2 linked regions of the Yarrowia lipolytica genome follow. The protein of the gene in region 1 interacts with the protein of each later gene in a biochemical or structural test. Links are inferred from orthologs where the notes say so. Each region holds a gene or a part of one and is shown on either strand. Other genes may lie near its edges.

Region 1 (3,224 bases):
AAAGTGGGTAGATGTGAGAGCTTGAAAAGTGATACTTGGATACTGTACGTATGTCCATACTGTAATGCTTCTAATGTGAGCTCCTTTGGAGAGACCCCATGATTATAATTTCTTCTTCTGTCTCACTATTAATGAAATGATCTACCACACAACTTCCAGAGATCCCTGTCTGTGACCCCCACACAGCTCTCATGAACGAATGTACAGTTCAAGACACACACTAGACAGTTCAAGACAGACACAAGACTGGCAAATGACAGCTCAGGACAGACGAATGATGGTTCTAGACATACAAGTGCAAATACTCTTAGCTATGGTCTCAGCTCATGTGAGACCTTGTTCATTCGTATCTGTGAGACATCTTGAAGTGTGTTAGCCGTGATAACAGAATAGCACTTTTCGACGACGACTGATTGTATCATACAAATGACTGACTCATCGATTGGTACTATGTGAACTAAACCATTGAAGGTACCAGTGGTTGAAAGGATGGCAGGGCGACTACAGATGTAGATGGCCCAACCCGATGCTTGTACTTGAAATACCCAAACTACGTAGGAACAAGTATGTAGCCGTTCGCAGGTCCATGTGGAATCACGGCTTTGCTCATCACAATCAGAATACAATAATTTATTCCCTCTAAACATACTGAGACAGCCATCGAATACCGTCTCCGTAGCCCTGCCGCATGACAATGGAGCACATGAAAATCTCGATGGGTCGGATGTTGCCTTCAAGAGGCACCTTGCCCTTACCGGTGGTCTGGTACAGTCCAAGGGCGTCCTTGAGCTCGAGCTCGGAAACGGCCTGGGGCATGTCGATCTTGTTTCCAAGAATCAAGAAGGGCACAGTCTTGAGCTGCTCAATGGCAAGCAGAGAGTCGAGCTCGGCCTTGGACTCGGCGAATCGAGTAGGGTCGGCGGCATCGACGAGGAAAACAATGCCGTTGACCTCGGGAAAGTAGTCCTTCCACACTCGTCGGGCCTGGATATGTCCACCGAGATCAAAGGTTGTGAATTTACAGTTGCCGATGGACAACTCCTCGGAGGTGGGGTGCACGGTGGGGTTAGAGACGGCCATTCGGTCGTTCTTGAGCATGTGCAGCAGGGTGGTCTTTCCGGCGTTATCGAGACCGAGGAAGAGCAGCTTGGCGTTCTTGTTCCATAGTCCGAGAGAGGACAGAACGTCGTAGACTAGGTTAGCAAAAGGGGGGCAAATCAAAAAGCGAGTGAAGCGAAATTGAGCGGCGATACGATAGCAGACTTGCTGTTTAAGCAGTACAATAACGGCACAGAGAGTTTGCTTGTGTTGAATACCACCGTATGACTGTTTAGGGTATAACAGCAGAGCAACCGTGTATCTTCAGGGGGTTGAGCAACCCTGAACGGCATCAAACCGCAACTTGATGAATGCAACAGGGGCAAAAAACGGCATCGGTACCTGTTTTTGAGTCTCTGGAACAGCCCTAAGTCGCCAGTCTCTGTTAACTGTGTTTTCACCTCCGGGATTTCAAGTCACGAAGCCCCCGTGTCGCTGTAGAGCTTGTCGTGTATCGTGTATCGCCACTTGATCTGATTTCTTTTTTTCCGCTAGCCTCCGCGTCTGTGTAACAAGTACACAAACACAAGCGACCAATCAGTGCCCCTGTATTCCATCCATACTCACACCAGTTGACAATCCACATGATTAGTAGTTGAAGAAGTAGGACAACGTGTGATGATAAGTTGGTGAGTGAGGTGGAATGTAGCAAAAAGGTTAAGCCGGCGGCTTCACGTGCATCCGACTGAGTCCAGGGTGGGGCTGACGCTTTGGTACTGGTATAGGAGGTGTTTGGGAGCAATAGAAGGTGCTGCAAAAGAGTATATATACTGTCCGTTTTTCCTCACATACAATTCTCTTCCTTTTTATCTCCACGCTTATCCTCTACAATCTCCCGTCATTGTGCAATCTCCTACCGATATGAATTTTGGCTGACACGTAAAACGGAAGCCAAAATCGTGCAGCACCAAGGTAAAAACCGTGGTCCTTTGGGGGTGTTGGGACATTACGTGTACATATTGTGGTGTGAGATCAATAGGCGAGCACGAGTACACTGTACATCAGGTGTGTGTGTAGACGTAATTGGTGCCAAAAGTTGTGGGACTTGGAAGTATTTATCTTGAGAGAGAACTGGAACATTCAGAGCAAGCTTCCTATTGTCCATTTATCATCTCTATTATACAATATTGTGTCCCCCGGAGATGTTTCTTTGAGCAGAGCATTTCCCAGCGCCATCACTCCTCCTACTTACCCTACCGAACACTACAAGTACACGTATGAAACTCTCTATTGCACTCTGCGTAGCACTACACCATGAAGCTCGAAATCAAGGTGAGTAATTGAGCGATTCACGCGGCCATGACGACGACTAACACAGCGACACTCGCAGACTCGTTCTGACCGAGTCAAGGGAATCGATTTCCACCCCACTGAGCCATGGTTACTCACCACTCTGTACTCGGGAGTGGCCCAGATCTGGAACTACGAGACACAGACGGTGGTCAAGAGCATCGAGGTGGCAGATGTTCCTCTTCGAGCCGGTCGGTTCATTGCCCGAAAAAACTGGATCATTGTTGGCTCCGACGACTTTATTGTGCGAGTCTTCAACTACAACACTGGAGCCAAGGAGGCCCAGTTTGAGGCCCACCCCGACTACATCCGTGTCATCACCGTTCATCCCACCCTGCCCTACGTGCTGACCGCCGGCGACGACATGTCCATCCGGCTGTGGAACTGGGACACAAACTGGACCATGGAGCGACAGTACCTGGGCCACAGCCACTACATCATGTACGTGGCCTTCAACCCCAAGGACACAAACACATTTGCCTCCGCATGTCTGGATCGAACCGTCAAGGTGTGGTCTCTGTCGGGCGCCTCCACCGTGTCGCGGCCCAACTTCACCCTCGAGGCCCATGCCACCGCCGGCGTCAACTTCGTCGAATACTATCCCGGTGCTGACAAGCCCTACCTCATCACATCTTCGGACGATAAGACCGTCAAGGTGTGGGACTACCAGACCAAGGCCTGCGTCGCCACCATGGAGGGCCACACTAACAACGTGTCCTTCGCTGTCTTCCATCCCGATCTGCCCGTCATCATCTCTGGTGCCGAGGACAATACCGTCAAGGTGTGGAACGCTAACACCTACCAGCTCGAGCAGACCCTCAACTACAGCTATGAGC
Region 2 (3,781 bases), on another chromosome or scaffold:
GGATAAAACTGCGCGAACCAGCGTCCAAAGACTCTCTTTTGCGTGCTGTGGAGAGGCGCCCTATAGGTAAGACCAAAGGGGGTAGTGTAATCAGAGAAGCCGACGGGGTTTCTGCTGCAAACAATGGTTTGAAATGGCTGGCGTGCAGATCCAAGGACCGTAGTCAGACTGTCGTCAGTTGTACCTGCGTGTATCTGGCTCGTGACAATCAATAGAGATGGTGGAGTTTCCAGTGAATGGGTGTCCTCAAAGTTGGCGAAGCAATATAAAAGTCAACAGAGATCACTCTCGTCAGCTTGTCTGTACCCTTTCGTGTCGATACACTCGTCGGGACTACTAATAATACATCTATTGTAGCATCTATATGGGGTTAAATGGTCTGGGCCTTGTAAGGGACGGTGGCATCACCGAAAATATCCTTGCACTCGATGATTCGCAGCTCACACTGCTTCATGCTCTCGGCGTTGCCAATCTCGCCTCTCTTTATACCCGACTTTCGAGCGCTTTCATCGGTTATCTTGAGAATCTGCTGAACCACTCCCAGCACTTCTCCCACAGCCACAGACAGTGGGTCAGGAACTGGCTTGAGAGTGTGATAGGTGTAGAATCTGTCGGAAAGCAGAGCTGCAAATATATCGCCAGTGCCGGTGAAGTATGAGTTGATCTTGTTGAACTCGTAAATGTATGTTGAGGTCGATCCATCTTTGTCCAGCGTAGATCCTGCCGAGTAGAGGATATTGTCGTTATCGGAAAAGGACAGAGACGAAATGGCCACGTAAGGTGTCTTATAGGTAGTATGGAAGGCTGTCAGCGCCTGCTTGAGCGTTTCTCGGTCTGTGATCTTGATTCCTGTGAGCAGTTCTGCTTCAAACTGGTTGGGGGTCACCAACGTCACCTTGCCACTCTTCAGAATATCCTGATACACAGGAATGGTCTTTTCCGACACGTACATTCGTCCGGCGTCGCCCAGAACCGGATCCAGCAGCCAGATCAACGAAGGGTTGTTGGTTTTGAGATCTTCTCCCACCTTTCCCACTGCCTCCACTCCTTCCTCTCCAGGAACGTAGCCGGTCAGCAGAAACTCATACGACAGCCCTGCAAGTTTGAGGCCTTCGTAGACGTCGAGAATCTCCTGAGCAGACGCCTTGGTGCCCTTGACCGTGCCGTATCCCGTGTTGTTTGAAAAATGCACCGTGTTGAGAGCATCCACCTCCCAGCCCAAGCACTGGAGAGGGAAGGTAGCTGCCTTGTTGCCCACGTAGCCATGGACTACGTGGGACTGGATCGCAAGCAGGTGTTTCATTGGTGTCTGTGTTGTGTAAAAGTGGGATGGGGAGATCAGTCTACAAGTAGGCGCTTATCGGGAGAGATACACTCTCCTTCATGCCGAACTTTGTCTGCCTGGGAGAAGATGAGGTAAGTAGTAGGGGTTGGTTTAGTGGAAGTGGAGATAAACTCTCTAAGTGAATGTTTAAGAAGTAAACAAAATGTTCAACAAATTATACATTTGTCAAGTAATCCCACAATGGATGATGCAATGTGCTTCTCTCGCGGTAGTTTCTACAGTTTGCACGAAACAAAAACTACATGAGCTCGTAGATAAAAGAAACTGTTAATGATGAGCTATGAAAAAATGCCCCAGTTGACCAGATGGACATCAACTTCAGCAAACTAATTATTCTGTGCGATCTTACAATTATTTCACATCCAACGCCTCGCTTATGCAAACGACATAATTGGGTGTTTCGATGAAAGGACTCAACATTGGCTCATTCAGAAGGTGAGAATTTTACAGGGACGGGATTTGGCGGGTTATATATATTTCAACAATCACCCGAATTAATGCGAATAAATCTGAATTTTTTTTTCCGCTTTTTTTTCTATTTTATTCCGACTTCTACCTCTCTCTCCATTAAAGAACTTCATGCATGAGCTAAATTAATCAACGCGCGCAACACGTACTCGTAGCTCCGAACATCACCAGCAGCAAACCACCCATACACACAATGTCACTGAGAGGATTGGAGCTCGACTATCCACTATTTGTGGCCGAATTTCTCGACAAGGATCACGTGATCGTCGGCGGAGGCGGCGGAGAGGGAAACCACGGCATCCCCAACAAGCTGGTGAGTATCAGTGGTTGAACCGTGGTGGCAGGCATGCTTCTGGCGGGTTGGAAACAGACACAAACAAAGTGGACAAACTTTGCTCAATGTGGCATTCTGTGCCGTAACCAATTCATGTGATTCATGTGATTGGTCACTGGTTACGTGGAACACACTAACTCAGAGCATCGTCAAGATCAAGGGACCCGACATGCCCAAGAAGATCTCCGAGATTGAGCTGTCGAAAAAAGAAGACAATCCCACGAGCTTAGCAATTTTCGACAAGAACACCATTTACGCCGGTGTAAACAGCAACAGTGAAACTCTCAAGAGCGGCAAGAACCAGCATCTGCGACTCTTCTCGCTCTCGGACGACAAGGAGAAATGGAGCGAAACCAAGTCCTCACAAGTCTTTGAAGACGTTGGCATTCTCGACTACCAGAAGGGGGCGCTGGCTGTGCCCAAGCACAAGTCTGTGATTCTCAGCAACTCCACGGCTCCTGGATACATCTACTCCATTGATGTCAAGGATCACGCAGTCAACTTCCAGGAGAAGACCGAGAGTGAGATCAACGGCATGTCTCTGTCTCTGGACGAGTCCAAGTTTGTCTACGTGACGGACAAGACTCTTGTTGTAGCCAACTCGGCCGACGGAAAGCACATTTTCAACTCGGAGTCTATCAAGGGCGAGACCTTCTCCCGGGCTGCCTTCCTCAAGTCCTCGGCGGTGGTTGCTGCTATTGCTGTGGGAGCCAAGGATGGTATCAAGCTGGTCAAGATGCACGGAGACAAGTTCGAAGAGGTGTCATTCAGCTCGTACAAGAACCTCAAGAAGGTGACTGCTCTGGCCTGCCACGACAAGTACATCTTCACTGCTCACCAGGACCTCAGTCTATCCATTTTCTCCGCCGACAACCTGCGTCTGCTCAAACAGTACAAAGAGGCCCATGAGTTTGCCATCACCCGAGTTGCTCTTAACGAGGATGAGACCATGGCTGTCTCTGTGTCTGCTTCCAACACTCTCGGAGTCATTGATATCCCTGCCGATGGCAACTTTGGAGGCAACAAGCTGTTTGACATTATCATTCTGACCATTCTCATCCTGTTTGTGGCCATTGCTTACCAGAAGATTGTTGGAACCCGTCAGTGGTAGTGTTGCAGATCTAGTATAAGTAAGAATTGTATTTATGTGATTGACCAGCCCAGACTATTACGATTACTACTGCTCCAGTTCAATAAGCACTTGTACAGCTCTGAAAACAGTTTCTTTCTATTTTGTTCATTAGTTATGTATCACCTGCCCGTTAATATCAAAGCTGTAGTCAAATGTAGCTAAAGGGATCATGTTATGACATGCCCCAGTCCTCACCTCACACGAAGGAGAAGACGGTGCTCCGTGTACTGGCCCCAAGAGTCGTCAAACTCCTTCCAGTTATCATCGAACCTCCACTTGTCTGCTCCCTCCCACACTTCGTCGAACCAGACGAGAAAGTCGCGGGTCTTGGACATGACAGTGTCCTGGGTCTGATGAACTCGCACGTTCCGGATTACAGCAATTCCAAAGTCCTGGGTCTGAACCTGCATCTTGAGCTGGTTTTGGGCAATCGCTTTTCTCATTGACGTGTGTTTAGCGAAGCCAGACATGGTTCTGGTGGCTCGCTTTGCTGTGCCTTGAA

Evidence for each region.
Region 2: the proteins of YALI1_C30130g (region 1) and YALI1_A08502g are reported together in a solved structure, tested with the Saccharomyces cerevisiae proteins (2 studies listed by BioGRID, with this or other methods). The link is inferred for Yarrowia lipolytica from reciprocal best matches to the Saccharomyces cerevisiae genes SAR1 and SEC12.

The regions. Positions count from the first base shown.
Region 1 is NC_090772.1:3,011,525-3,014,748, reverse strand, and holds YALI1_C30130g (uncharacterized protein), read right to left. Parts: upstream 1,685-3,224; coding exon 1,666-1,684; intron 1,194-1,665; coding exon 640-1,193; downstream 1-639. Other genes in the region: YALI1_C30119g (uncharacterized protein), read left to right, coding at 2,753-3,224. UniProt on the Saccharomyces cerevisiae protein: Small GTPase component of the coat protein complex II (COPII) which promotes the formation of transport vesicles from the endoplasmic reticulum (ER).
Region 2 is NC_090770.1:848,727-852,507, reverse strand, and holds YALI1_A08502g (uncharacterized protein), read left to right. Parts: upstream 1-2,006; coding exon 2,007-2,126; intron 2,127-2,289; coding exon 2,290-3,258; downstream 3,259-3,781. Other genes in the region: YALI1_A08512g (uncharacterized protein), read right to left, coding at 371-1,303; YALI1_A08486g (uncharacterized protein), read right to left, coding at 3,471-3,781.